3 linked regions of the Neodiprion lecontei genome follow. The protein of the gene in region 1 interacts with the protein of each later gene in a pairwise test. Links are inferred from orthologs where the notes say so. Each region holds a gene or a part of one and is shown in the gene's direction. Other genes may lie near its edges. The genes, in order: ral guanine nucleotide dissociation stimulator, ras-like protein 1 and ras-related protein Rap1.

Evidence for each region.
Region 2: the proteins of ral guanine nucleotide dissociation stimulator (region 1) and ras-like protein 1 interact in a two-hybrid assay, tested with the Drosophila melanogaster proteins (2 studies listed by BioGRID). The link is inferred for Neodiprion lecontei from reciprocal best matches to the Drosophila melanogaster genes Rgl and Ras85D.
Region 3: the proteins of ral guanine nucleotide dissociation stimulator (region 1) and ras-related protein Rap1 interact in a two-hybrid assay, tested with the Drosophila melanogaster proteins (2 studies listed by BioGRID). The link is inferred for Neodiprion lecontei from reciprocal best matches to the Drosophila melanogaster genes Rgl and Rap1.

Annotation. Positions count from the first base shown.
Region 1 is NC_060264.1:21,917,627-21,922,933, reverse strand, and holds the start of ral guanine nucleotide dissociation stimulator, read left to right. Parts: upstream 1-2,199; 5' UTR 2,200-3,098; coding exon of another isoform or gene 3,099-3,128; intron 3,129-5,307.
Region 2 is NC_060265.1:20,932,637-20,937,552, reverse strand, and holds ras-like protein 1, read left to right. Parts: upstream 1-2,108; 5' UTR 2,109-2,306; intron 2,307-2,421; exon of another isoform or gene 2,422-2,706; intron 2,707-2,785; 5' UTR 2,786-2,869; coding exon 2,870-2,998; intron 2,999-3,135; coding exon 3,136-3,279; intron 3,280-3,663; coding exon 3,664-3,867; intron 3,868-3,949; coding exon 3,950-4,054; 3' UTR 4,055-4,198; downstream 4,199-4,916. Other genes in the region: histone-lysine N-methyltransferase ash1, read left to right, coding at 1-6. UniProt on the Drosophila melanogaster protein: Ras proteins bind GDP/GTP and possess intrinsic GTPase activity. Plays a role in eye development by regulating cell growth, survival of postmitotic ommatidial cells and differentiation of photoreceptor cells.
Region 3 is NC_060264.1:31,047,867-31,053,054, forward strand, and holds the start of ras-related protein Rap1, read left to right. Parts: upstream 1-1,880; 5' UTR 1,881-2,499; intron 2,500-5,188. Other genes in the region: peroxisome biogenesis factor 10, read right to left, coding at 35-361, 433-684, 759-1,049. UniProt on the Drosophila melanogaster protein: Ras proteins bind GDP/GTP and possess intrinsic GTPase activity. Plays a role in photoreceptor cell determination.

The DNA of each region.
Region 1 (5,307 bases):
CCCCCAATGAAAATTTTTCCGACCCCTAAATGAAAGGACCACCCTGATACATATGTATAAATGAATAATGGTTACAGACAAAACAATCTCTACTATCGTGTCGACGAAATAATTCGAAATATAAGAATATAATTTTAATTATATTATATTATATAATATTGATGAATACAAATATTACATATGAAATATATATATGTATGCATATGCATATAGCGTAACAATTATATTGAGATAATTATGAAATTGAAGTTATAAGAATACTGGTATGAGTGCGAAGATTACTGGAATTCATGATTTATTATAATAATTATTATTATTATTGTCATTATTATTGTTATAAATAAATATTAATAAATTGAGGCGGTGCTATATATAATCCAAATATGTACATACGTATGTAAATGTATATCGCTCGATATATATGCGGAGTTGAAAATTTGTCCCATGCGAATTGATAAATGAAGAGGTGGTATACATTACATAGGTATATGTATGCGTATAAACATACGTATATATATATATATATATATAGGTATATGTATATTATTTTCTTTTACCTCTGTTACATTAAAAGATGCAAGAAATTAAATTTGAAATAATCACGTCTGGTGTAGAACTAAAACGAAAAAACCCGAGTATTTGGAAATCGAGAAAAGTAAAGGTATTATAATAATGTTAGTAACAAGCAGCCTATAATCAAGCAATCAACAGTTGATGACGTTTACAATGTTGACGAAACGTACAATTGTTAGTCTCTTCTGCAACATTCAATTAATTATGTGTTTAGGTTGGTGTTAGGTCTGCGTATGTAGTTCTCGCGGTTTTTTTTTTTTTAATGTCGCGTGTTTGTACCTTGGAATTTCTTTTTAATCTGTTATGAATAATAAGTGTGTGTGTGTGTGTGTGTGTGTTATATATGCCGTAATAATCAGCCAAAAAATCACAAATTCTCAGAAAATGTTGACACTTATGTTACCGTTTTGTCCAATTTTTTGGAATTCGATACAAGCATTTTTGGGCTGATAATTACTGCTGATAATTACGGCAGCGATAAGAAAACGATTAAAAATCCCGAAAAACCAATGCTTTTCTTATGGGAAAAAGTAAGGCTTTTTAGGCGTGGGTAAATATGGAGGAAAAAATTTTTAAAAATTCGGACATTTTTTTTTAATTATTTCGAACCGATTTGGAGGGTAAGACCATTAAAATTCGATTTTGCCCTTCTTAAGGACAGGTCTAATATATATGTGTATAATGTATATTGCTATTACTTTTCTCAATTTTCCAACACTCAGTAGTTTTCGTCTGTATTCGTTCTAGTTCTATGCCAGACGTGATTGTTTCAGATTCAAATCCTTTCATCTTTTAATGTGATAGTGGTAAAGGAAAATAAAATTCAAACAAAAAACACAACAAAAGCAAAATCAACAATGAAAAGAATGTTGTTGTTTGCCATCAAAGTGTGAAACAAGATAATCTTAGCTAGGGTTTTTCAGGTACGTACAAAACAAACAAAAAAACTCAAATCAGTCGAAGGTTTTATTTATTCGTTGGATTGTACTAAATGGAGTAATGTTTTCACAATATTGAAGACTCGTATGAATGCTAACGATAATAATTATCAAAATGAAGCTCAGACTACGGGTAAAACCCCGCCATTAATCCCGTGGAAAGCTTAACCAAACAGAATCGTTCGCACAGAAAATTTTGCCGGGATTTGTGAACCGTAATTGCATATTTATACGTCAATCGGGAAGAAAGATAAGAGGACCATGGCCAGTGTGATCGAGTGAGATGCGCCTCAAAATAATGACGGTGAAACAATGAGATTTAAAATCGGAGACATTGAACATTCGTTGAAAATATTTATAATGTGAAAGCTGAAGTAGGTACGCATAATTTCAATTCACGGTGACAAGAATTGAGGTTGCATGAGATCGTACCTATACACGAACATACGGTTTGTTTGAGAAATATTTTGACACTACCAACCTACCGGTATTAATGTAATTAATAATCATTAGCATCAAGTGTGCAAACAACACCTTTAATGTGCCGTTGCATCATCACGTTTCGCAAAACAAGTATGCATGAAAAAAGAAAAAAAAAAAACAATCCAAAATGGCATTGCAGGTTTATTGCAGGACCGACGCAACATTGTTGCCGACAAGACGAAGAGATGGCGCTGGGATCGCCGAAGCTAGCGTCGGACGGTGAAAGCAGCGAGCGTACTGTCGGTCAGCAATGCAAAGCGCCTAATAACGGGAATTTCTGCATAGAAAAGACGGTGGAGAGGGAGAAACCAAACGTGGGAATGGCGTCAACGGGCAGTTCGGGAGTAGCAGAGCCGACGACGGTTCGTCGAAGTGAAATATCGGGCGACAGCGCTGCCAGCGGTTTTCAGTGGACAAATTCAGTCGCATCGATTCGTGCGGATCGAGGGTTCATAGGGTCTGTGCCGTCGTAGTGATCGAGGAAAGGCAGGAAAACGACCGACCGACCGGACTGATCGCGAGACCTGCAAATGTCGTTGACGTTCTTTGGCCACGCGTAATTCGTATTTCGTGTGCTGCGTTACGTCCTTTGCTGAAAAGGAGCACAATAATTTCGAGAATAGGGTGTCCAGTGCTTGTCTTCCCGGCCACAGTGAAACTCCATACCAACACTTCGGATGACAGGTGTCAGCGGCAGCGAAAGCACCATTGATCCTGTCTCCGTATGTGCTCAACTGCGAACTGTATGCACGTTATTTATTTATTTTTTTTTCCCATGTGATCAACGACAGTGAAATGACTGCTGATTGGTTCTGGATAGGCCACATGGAACAGCGAGAAACAGCAGCCTTATCATCGACATCGTAGGAGTGAAGCAGCGGAAGTTCCAAAGAAGAACGGGCATCACCTCGATTATAAAACACAGTGGAATATGGATACCATTATAATGTCGGAGAGAAGCAGAGTGCTAATTATTGTCGAATCGTTGAATTCTTTAAGTCCCGGTTGTTTCAGTGCAGCAGGTTGTGAGAAAATCTTGGAGGAACCTCCGCGAAGAGTCGACAGTAACAGGCGCCCGCATTTACTACGAAGAGGATCTGTGCTATGAGTGGTGAAAATGCTGACGACTCCTTGGTAATTTGAGTAGAAAAAACCAAAATAAAAAAAAAATCATCCATAAATATAAGGAAGACAACGATTATTTTTTCATATCAAGTCGATGGCGGTTCTCGATCAGCTGTTGTCACGCACACTAACGCACGGTCTTTAATTACTTTCCTTCTCTTTCTTTGTATAACAATTATTTTCTCCTTGGTATATTCTTTAATAAACTAACATATCTTTTACCATTGGTTTTATGTGGTTTAACAATTTCACACAGCAGACATACCTAGTATTCCCCTTTTACCCTTATGCGCGCTAGCTGTGTATGAATTTTTTTGTGTCTGACTCTTTCGCTTTTTTTTTTACTAACAACTACTGCACTCACACATCTCTAAACAACGAACGTTGAAGTATAGAGGTAAACTGGGAGTGGGTACGAACTACCATAACAGTAAAAGCCCGCCGCCTTGTTGAGCCAGCGCTGATTTGTCGTACGCAAATTTTGAGTGTTCATGTGTCATGCGAATTGCGCAAGTCCGCATGAGAAAAAGCAACTCACGTTTTTTAAAACAAAACTGGAGGGAAAAAAATCTTGATCTTAATATCTTACCTTTCATTCAAGACTTCGGTTTGAATTTTCAAGCTGAAACACTCAATACGATTTCCATGCACTGTTCAAATGAGAATTATTGTCAATGATCTTGACAATTAGGAAAGGAGTAGTAAGGGAAGAGAGCTGAAAAGTATTGAGGGGGAAAAATATACTGGACATGAGAGAAGGTGAATTTTTATACAAAAGTATAATGCATGATATGGCCTCATGGTCGAGCCGTTGCCTCAACAGTAGGACCTTCACCTTGAAAAACGTTTCATTCGTTTAATACCAATTATCACTGGACGTGTTAAGCTCTGAACGGTCTGAGTATATATTACACCATTACATATTTGAATGGTGTGAACTAATTTCTCTCGAGTTCTTGGACTGTTCGGAATTGAAACGACAGTAAGATGACCCAAGGGATAAATCATGATCAAACTTTAGTCTGCCACACTGCGTTTTTGGAACGAGTAATCGCTAATCGGGAAAGGCTGAGGCATCGGTTCAGGATTCGGGAATCCCGTGAAATTAGGATAAACAGTGAATTGCAGGAGAGCAAAGCGGATGAAACTGAAGACGAAAAAACTATCTAGACCGGCGTAAAATGGCATGAGAATGCGGTCTAAGGATTGCAGATTTCCTTTCTATATTCCCGTACCGTGAATATTTCTAAAGTCTGCGCGTTGTTCTCCCACGTTACGCGAATCATCACGGGAAGTGAAATGAAAATTACGGCAACAATTTGCTCGGTTTGCAATATGGAGAAGACAAAGACGGAAAAAGAAGTAGCTGTAAATCGATTTTTTGCATTGATGTATGGAAAAAAGTTATTAGTAGAAATTGTTCGTTTTTTTTTCGTTCGCGTTGTGTTAAGCTTCTCTATAAAACTTGATCCATAAAACCGGTGCAATACTGTTCCGTTATCCGGTTGAAACGATCTCTCCCACGAAAGTTGACTCGAATTTGCAATATAAATTATCACCGTCTTCTTTGCCAGCGCGGAGTCCGTTTCATATAATGTACATGTACAGATACGTTGTGACCCTGATATTATATTAATCTAAATAATCAGCACTCATAAGGCTGTCTGCACCTTCGAATCGTCATGAATTCAGATTGAAAGTTCACGCAATTCAACCGGAACACAGACAAAAGTTGAAGCTGAGTGATTATAATAGAAACTCCAAGTCCTATTTCAATAAGCTGCGAAATGAGTTAGGAAAAGATGATGGGACAAAAGTTCACGCTATTCGACGATAATTTTCATTCGGCAAACGGATCTTTATACCATGTATAACATCAGTTAACATGGAAAAGCAAAATAGCTGTTTCTCTGAGTTTCCAAACGATTCAAAACTCCTTCGTGCCGTCGTACAACACAGCTGGAGTACGTCACGAATGGCATATCTTGTTCTAAATGTGTCAAGTTTATACACGATACTGTACGGTCGAAAGAAGGTAGGCGCGTCGATCGAGGAATGTCGAAGTGAGAGAATCGCGTGTACGTACATGAATGCGTTGCGCACATCGGCAAACCGGTGAGCGAGTACCGTGAATACCGTACGTCATACACGCCTGAACTTCCATACACACTCGTTCAGATAGCAGCCG
Region 2 (4,916 bases), on another chromosome or scaffold:
CCGTGACATTGGTTGATAACCCAATGATAATGTCACATTATTACAGGTAGTTGGTAGAGTATCGTTTTTGCATTACAGCCAACCCCGCGTTTAATGGGCGTACATATTTGCCGATTTCGTATATTATTACCTAGAATACATTTTTTAAGATTGACAACATTTCACAAAATTTGTCCACGTGCTGTTGTAAGATTTCAGGAAGGAAAAACGAGAGTAAAAGAAAAATCCAGCTTTTGCTAGTTATAGAAATGAATGATTATTTAAATACTTTGGAAGAAGAAACTTTTGAAAAGAACTTGATTTCGAAGTCAGAGATCAATGAAATGCTATTTATTGATTAATGTTGAATTAAATTGCAGGTTTGGCTGTTAAGATGTTTCTTCTTAATTTATTAATTATCAATATTGTACAGAATTGTTTATAAATTATTTTTATTATTATACGATTCGATATTGTTAAGAACATAGTTAATTACTTGTACAAATTATCGAATACGTGTGAGAGAAAAAGAATGAATGAAGCTTGTTGCACAAATTAATAATTATATTTTTCATAACCCCGGTGTTAGAGAAGACTATTGTATAATATAATATTATATCGAAGATAGGTACATTATTGACTATATTGTATTTAAATTATTATTCACATTATCATCATAACCCAAAATGATCGACGAATTTGATTAAAATTGAACTGTATATACATTTACGATTGCATATTTATTACGTTATATTTAATATTCTTATTAATAGTTTTTATTTTATATTATATTCATATCTTAGGCTAACATATTTTTTATGTATAAACTTTTGAAGTAAGTTATATGAAATGTAAATTTATTTTATTTTTACTTTCTTCCCTAAGGCCTGTAACAGAATTTTAAGGGGTAAGCATAACCTTCGAAAAACGAGTCTATTTTCCATATTTCTTTTTCACTCAGGTATTCGGGTGCCAAGATTGAACTTTTGCACACAGTTAATACGTAGTATTGAAATGTCTCGTTTTTGTTTTTTTTTTCCTATTGCAAAAAATTCATAAAGAACATATTTATTGTTATATAAACAATGCGCTGTAGATGCCGCACGACTCGTTTACGGACATGATTACGGCAACTAGAGTGATCTAAAATGAAAAATGGAAAACTCTACTTTTGGTACAATGATGAAGCTGCAAAACCTTCGGTTACTTTTTTAAATCGAATTTCATTAGACCCGTATTCTTTTTCCGTTCCATGATCCGCGTTTCCAAGACATGCTGTGATCTTAGGCTGTAAATACGTCTGATTCGCAATCGAATTCAAAGCAAGTCAAGCCTACAATTAACACTATATGTCACTATCGTCGAATACGTGTTTTTTTATGAATCAGATTAGGGTGCCTAGGGGTCAAAATTATTTCATTCCGTTATTGTTTTACGAAAAATGATGGTATCCTCTAATAATACGTGAAGAGTGGCCGATTCCTACTTTGTTGACCAACATGTAGATGGCAACATATCTTGTTATCTATTTTACCGGTAGTGATTCGAACTGGGTGAGTTTTTTGTGACTACCACTCACTAATGGCAGTAGCGAAGTGGGCTGTGGCCTTAGAGCATATAGTCCTGGTATACCCTTTCGCATAAGTGGAAAACGGTACAGAGAGGGAAATAGTAATACTACATCCCTTCTCTGTCTCGCAGGCTCCGATTGGCCGACTTACGCTAGTGCTCCGAGCACTCACGCTTGTATCACAGGATCCCGGTTCCTGGCTGTAAAGGCTTTAATAGTTTGTTTTGCTCGTAGTGCATACCAGGAGCATCAGAAGTTCGAGTGCTGCTATTAAGTTTAATTTATTTACTAAAATCATGCCATTGAAACGTCGCGTTTCCATCACACTTTATGGAGAAAATGCCCGTTCCACATTCATAAATTAAAATTTTTCATTTAAAAATATGTTAAATACTGATATTATTAACTGTTTGTTTCAATAACCTTATCTACTAGAAATCAGTGTATGTGTATACATATCCGGATTATATCCACGCAATGCGCGGGGCACTCAATTACGACAGGTACGCTCTTGCCGCAGACAGAGCGCGCATGTAATATTACGATGTCTCTCTCTGTCACTGACTCGGAGACAGTTTTCCAGCGTCGATGCTTCCTCAATGTCTATATGCTCTAAGGCTGTGGCAGGCGACACTCATCAAAACAATTAATTTTATTAAATTAATTTATACTTTTAAGCTCGAGCGAGTGACTAAACAATTGTCGTGACAAAAGAATTTGAAAATAAACTCTGTAGTGAAATGCCCTGCAAGCTTTAGTAAGTATATGAAACATTTTTATCCTCAACTTCAAGTTTACTTTGCCCTGTTTAGTGTTACTTTTTTTTTCTTTCTTCACAACTCATATCCTATTTCTCACTTACAGATCGTTGACAGATTAGAAAATGCAAATCTGATGTAACCAATCGACAGATAATAACAAAATATCGTTTATCATCATCGTAACTCTAATCAACTACCGTATTTTACAATACGATTGTGCGAATAACCTTTAATAAGTTTTTCATTAGCTCAAAATACCCAATCAATATAACACAAATTTAAATACCACTTTCTTATTTCTCGAAACATTTGCAAGATTAATTTCAGCATTTTTCCTTTGCTTTCGCGAACTTTCTATGGGATACTTCATAATATCCATCCTTGAGACATAAATAGGTAGATAGAATCTCTTACAATTAGTGAAGATCAATTGCTCTCCATCATCTTTGTTGAAGATTCTTTTTTCACTTTGCAGGTATCTTTTTTCAACCAGTGTACGACCCAGCATCATTCAGGTCCGGTACTTTGGTTCAAGTTGAGATTTACTAAAAAGACTGTCATGACGGAATACAAGCTAGTTGTTGTAGGGGCTGGAGGTGTTGGCAAGTCAGCGCTCACCATACAACTAATTCAGAACCACTTTGTAGATGAATATGATCCAACAATAGAAGACTCTTATAGAAAACAGGTAACTAACATTTGGATTCAAAAATTTTGTCGCATAAGTTATACAATTAATTTTTTTTTCAATCAAAGTTATCTTCAATGCACTAGAAATAGACAAATACTCTTTATTTTTAGCTTAATTATTTTCATATTTTTCAGGTTGTTATAGATGGGGAAACTTGTTTGCTGGATATTTTAGATACCGCTGGCCAAGAAGAGTATAGCGCAATGCGGGACCAATACATGCGAACTGGTGAAGGATTTCTACTAGTCTTTGCTGTTAATTCGGCAAAAAGTTTTGAAGTAAGTACAATACTGCATTTCGATACATTTATTGTTTAGTAAGCTAGAAAATTATTAATCTTCGCGATGTTTACTTACAAAATAATGTAGTTAGTAAAAATCACAGTAACCAAAAAAAATCACACAGTTGTCTTGTCTCAATTAACCTGATCATCAGATATCCCTTGAGTCTGTAGCAAAGCTTTTCACACTTGCAATGATATCTTCTCAGCTTATCAATGTGACAAGTATTTATAACTTGAGAGTATGAATCAAGAGGTTTTATTGTAATTAATTACAGGGTATAGTAAAGTTTGTCATATTTAAGCAATTTTTTCCATTCTTTTATTTTCTTCACTATAATTACACTGACCTAACTTTGGTTGCTTTCTTCGCATTACACAGGACATTGGAACATACAGAGAACAGATAAAACGTGTCAAAGATGCCGAAGAGGTGCCAATGGTGTTAGTTGGGAATAAATGTGACCTTCAGTCATGGGCTGTAAATATGACGCAAGCGAGAGAAGTAGCTCGTCAGTATGGTGTACCATTCGTTGAAACTTCCGCAAAAACTAGAATGGGAGTAGACGACGCTTTCTATACTCTAGTAAGCAAAGTGATTCATAGTAAAAGATGAAAAAGTGTGCAAGTGGTAAAAAATCTTACTGGTTATCACTTATATCTTTCAGGTTAGAGAAATCCGAAGTGATAAAGAACAAAGAGGCAAAGAAAAACGAAAGCGTATGAGAGCAAGAAGTTCTGGACGCCGAAGGCATCGCTGCTGTCTTCTGTAAATGGTTAACTAATTTCTGTTACCTTTATATACTATACAAGCGCGAGTATAATGTAAAAAGAAAAAAAAACCGTTGGGTTAATTAACTGTGTCGCACATTAGTGCAGTTCACTTTGAAACGCGAAGTAAAGCTGCCACCACAACATTTTTTAAAACGATTGATGTATGATTGTACAATATTACACAATACATTTTTACTCGTAGTATCAAATCTTATCTTACAAATAATGATAACATTTTACTGGATTAACTATCTATATTTCGAAACTTTATTTGGGTTTTGACCATTCTTAAGCTAAGTATGAAAAATTATCTCTTAAGAACTTGTTAAATAATGTAATCGTACAATTTAAAATTATATTCATACGCATAAAATCACACAATTTTCGCAGTAATGTTTTACGCACTATAGCAATGTTGAAATAAATTGTTAGTATAATTCATTTATATACGAAGTGCTACTCATATATGGTAGAATTTTTTAACTAATTTTTATGTGAGTGAATATTAAATAGTGATGTATACATTGGAAAATGGTTGCAATTATCCATATGGTTTTGAATATTATCACACATGTTTTTTCTACTTCGATTTATGATTTCTAAGGCTTTGACCCACACAAATATTGGGTTCATCCTAGCATAGATAGTGTGATCATCCATCGCTTACGAAAGCTTAATCATAATTGAAAAGAAGAAGAAGAAAAAATATCTTTGGTTGTAAAATTATTTAACAAAATAAGATACTGCCATCTTGGTCAAACGTGTAAGGGATGCTCAATTTCAATCGACAAAAGTGATAAAAAAAATTTTAAGATTGCGAAATCGAAATGAAAAACGTTGCAATACATTGAAATTATTTGC
Region 3 (5,188 bases), about 9.1 Mb from region 1:
TGCCACTTTTTTTTCTTCTCTCTGCCCGCATTTCTCAAATATTTAATAAATATATAATTCTAGATGGATGGGCATACTCTCTGCACAATGGGCACTGCGGTCTGGCGGCAAGCCAATCAGAAATACATTGCCAACAGAAAAGATGACCACAGGGTGTTGCGGTCGTTGGTACAACTTCGAGGCATAATTGGCAGCTACGTGAATCTGTGCCCAACCCTTTCGTGATTTCAACTGTTTTTGCCTCCTCAGATGCTGATAACTGTCGGCTGCTCCAGAGCTTCAATAAACATTGAGCGATCGTTGCCACCCCCAACAATCGCAAACCCCAACTTATCCCTTCGGCTGGACGACGGCCGTATACCTGCGAAAAATATTTGCAATTTTTACTATCAAATATGCTTTGAGCAGGGGTAGACAGTACGGTCAACGCACCTTGATATAATCAACACCAGCGATTCTTTTGCTGAGGCTGTAATACCGACCAAGAATATAGAAGAGACCTCGATGGGCTAGAATTACAATGGGAATAGCAGTTCTGAGTCTCGTCAATGAGAAATTTAGAATAGATTTCGCCTCGGGTGTTAATTCGTTTCCTGGATTGTTGATTGAGACCAATAGCCTGTCTAATATCCTTATCAAGACTTGTTCGCCAAAGCATTCCAATAGTATGGCTAACGTTCGTGCCTGAAAGATAATTTCAGTCTGTTTATAAAAACGGGCATTTGAATTCAGCGGATGTTCCAAAACTGAATACCCACAGCGAGCGATGGAACTTTTAAGGCTTTCAGGTCAGCTTGAATAATGCCAGTGTACTCCTCACCAATAGTCTGATTGTTCATTGCTGTAGTAGCAATGAAATAGGCGAATTTGGCTGGTAGCTCGGACTGTACGATGTGTAGAAGTAATTTGCTGCCACCGAGTTTGTGCATCAATTCTGATAAGTTTTCCCGCAAATTTGTAACAAACATATCATCCCGCTGACGGGCTCTTAATATTTCTGCCTGATTCGCACCCTTCGATCGGAAACCACGTGGAGTAACTCGCTCCATCGTTGACCTTCTAATTTCATCTGATTAACGGTAAGACCAAGAAACAAAAGACATTCGAACATTTGAATTTCTGTACAAATTAACGCAAGATCGCATGCACGAAGATCCGATACGTCTTCAAGTTTTATATTTCGCGGCATACGGAACTGCCAACTTAAAGAAAGTAAATTAATTTTCCGCACTCTCCATTGGCCGAGAGTGAGTAGAATTATTTGAGATTTTTGGCAGTTACCTCGAGTTTATAGCTCCGAAATAGGTAAAATCGACGCTCGTAGTGACGGAATAGAGCAAAAATTGCTGCTTAAACAGGTACGAAACAATATCCTGCTCGAATCTGGCGTTCCGGATGTCGTTCGGTGTGTGGCTGCGTATGACTAAGCGGTTGCGCTTACGTTGGTCGAATGGCTAGTGACGTCATCACATAAAAGCTGAGTGCCCATTGGGCTTGACCGACGTAAGGGAGCCCCCAATTGGCCGACGAAAGGTTACGAGAGAAGCTATCGGCGAACGTTCGTAGCGACGTGCCAATGGAAGACAGGGTGAGCGAGCGGCGACGAGCAGAGTAGGCATCGCCCTAGATAACGGTAGAATTGTGATTCGCCGGGCGTTACTTAAGGCCGTGTTATAAATTGATACGAACCGACAGAAGGAGTAAAACGTGCGGTGATATAGAGACTCTGTGGAATCGAATGATCCGTAAGAGAAAAAAAAAAACAACAAACTAGAGAATTTAAATTAACGAGTAAATGAACAAAGAAGTGTTGCGAGGAAAAAGAAAAAAGATACGGGATACAAAGAAAATAACAATAATAGTTAAAAAAAAAAAAAAACAACACAATTCAACAAGACTGTATAAAAGGTAAAATTAATTATTGTTATATGCTCGCGAGTTCGGCAGTAGTGCGGTGTGCGTGGAAAGGGTGCAGCATCGGCGACACGAGGCTTAGAGGGGAAGAAAATCTGTGAATGTAAAGTTGTAATAAAAGTTTCGTAGGAAGACTTTAAAGAGTTACGAACGAAAAAAAATAGAGAAAAGATATTCCTTCATTCGTGAACCGAGTATCAGTGTCACAACTCGACGACAATCTCGGTGTGCAATTGGTACGTACACCTACTCAACTGCCTGCCTGCCTACCTACCTACATCGTGACTCTGGGTAGTAGTGGGTATTTTCTCTCTCTACATGAAGTCATGGCGGTGTAGCAGCAGCAGCAACAGCAGCAGCAGCGGCGGCGGCGACGACAGAAGAAGGCAAAAGCGAACGACAGGAAACAACCGGAGAATCTAATCACAGTCAGACTTGGAAGTCGTTGCAACGAAATCGAAAACGGTGGACGTCGTAAAAAAACAAAATAAAACAACAACAACAACAACAATCATACACCATATATCGTAATTTCTACGGGAAATCAAGGATCCCCAGAGATACCAACCGCGAGATAGGCGTCAGGTATGTAACTAAGAAAATTACACACATCTACTTCATTCCGTCTCTCTTCGCTTATCTTCATCTCCGCACACAAGCGATGCATCAATTCATCCCTACACTGAAAACGCCCACAGTCCGAGCTCTCAAGTATCTTGTCGTATCTCATTTTAGCTCGACAGTCGATCCCATCCGCTTCCCTCTGGTCCTCTCACTATGCAACAAAAAACAAAAAGTTAATTCGCGAGTATTCGATAATCGGAATCGGATGAATAAAGGGAGAGAAAGCGAATTTTTCTTCTTCTGTCGTTTGTCGCATATCTAGGAATTTATTATCTACGATCACAGCAGCCGGATTTATCTTGCGTTTCGACCATCCATAGACTAAATACTTGATCCACATAACTGAGAGCGTTCCCTCCCTTCCTTTCAGTACCACGTTACCGATGTTCCTCTTTTTTTTGTTCTCTTCTGCTATTGCCCTTTTATTACTGTCAATCCTGTCAATTTCTTTCAATTAATCACGGTAACCAATCGCTTTTATCGGCGAACGAGGCTCGTTTTAAAATCGACCTATCGTACTGTCCACGATAAATAATTTATCAGTAATAATTTAGTCGGCTCTTTCACGTTACGAGGCGACATCTAGACATGCAATATATGGTTGTTGGTTGGCTTTACCGCAATTACGATCAGAACAAGTGACGACACGATTCAACTTACGGATACATACACTAAAAATAATCATAATCCTAATGTGACTCATATCATAAAACGCCGTACGCACGTATTATACGGTGTATCTATGCACGATGTAACACGAGCGTGTATAAACGTCATCCATTCCCCATCAGCGTCATCGCGGGACGAAAATCCTTCATGTGTTTAAGGGTCTTCGACACCCCCCCTCTGCACGTTGCGTGCATCACGGTCGTTCCTTAAATAAAATCAATTAACGTACTGCACATTTAATAATAGTACCACGCTTATACGGGCACTGATCTCGCACTCTCAAGATTACCTTCTACCCGATTTTTATAATTCACGTCGAATGATTTTCAAATATTCTTGACTGTTTCTCAGCTGTTACATACCTTCACACAGGTAACATAAAATCGAGTCACGAGAGCGGGAAATTTGAACTTGATAATAACTTCTCTTGAGATAAAATGCTAGTCATTTGTATAGACAGCATAGAATAATCTGTGTAATCGCACACGATTATATCATCGATGATTACACCGATCATGGAAATAAAATTCTTTCTTGCGTCATGCTTTTTAGACATCGATGTATCGATTGTATTTTTCTTCAACCTGGCGTCATAAACGAGGACTGTACGGGTCTCTCTACGACGTGTCTTGTTGCCAGTGTTTATCATGCAGGTTATTATTAAACGCAACCTCATTTACTCGTCCGTCAATATTGTACGTACTAATCTTAAACGTAAGTCGAATGAATATATAGTAAAATTTTTAAAGTTTTTAATGCACGTTATACAATGTAAAGAAAACTCGGCACGTTGTGTATGATTATTATATTATTCCATGGACTATTATCGGCTTCCAGCAGCAGGGGGAATACAATTAAAAATTAATTCACACAGCAACGAGAAGAAAGCAAACCACCCCTCATCCTGCAGAAAGGTACAACACGTATTGTGGGAGTAACATCGCGAAGTATACAGAAACAGTTGTACGTATACGTTACAAAATTATCAACTTGAAACCACTCGAGGGTGTATACATATGTACATATAGGTAGAGAGTCGTTACGTAAGTGATACCAATTATCCTTGGTGTGTGTAGGTATCTGGTTGAACTTAATCGACGAAACGATACACTCCATCTACTCAGTTTCGCCATTCTGGCAAACTGCAGGAAACAAGCAGCAACAAAGATAGAAAAAAAACACATTCCCTCGTAGATCTATTTCTGTACCATCTGTCATAATTCGTACTAATTTAAAGCGATTCGTCGATTTTCCGGTAATCCTTCGTACCAAAAACGGGGATAAACTCTACACAAAAATAATCGTTGCGCCTCCTCGAGCAGCATCAAATTTCAATCGATTATCCGAAGATTGATCTGTTATTGATTGATGTTTGTTTTTAAATCAGTAAACTTCAAGCGGTTGATATACTAGAAATAGTATTTAAATACACTTGTATAGAGATGGAGTTGTACCATTATTTAAACCTGAATTTTTATGAGTCTGAAACAACGGGATACGTTATGTCATAAAAATTTCTCTAAACGACTGAAACCGAGCATCCAGAAATATTCTATGCACAGATAAGGATATCGCATTACACAATAAAGCTAGTCGATGATGATATTATAACGATAAGAGTCGTCCGTACGTGTGTGCGTATGTTTTTCTTACATCAACCTATTTATCATAAACGATGTATAGTACGTTATAAGTTGCAAACGATTTATTAATTAGTTTAATTTTCGTTTTCTTTTCTTCTTTCGTTTCATCGACAAGAAACACACATGTGTTTCGAGTTGTTTTATCGGGGTTAACCGGCATTGATTTCGCTTTTTTCACTACCTTATTACACGTGTCCGATTTCGACTACGATATCGAGTCCCCTCTGACACTCATATGTGCATTTTATACGTGGGGACCCACGCTGGGCCCACGCCGCGTGCCCCACCCTCTGAACAACGCGTGTCAGCCAATAGAAAGTGAGTTGAGAGACCGACCG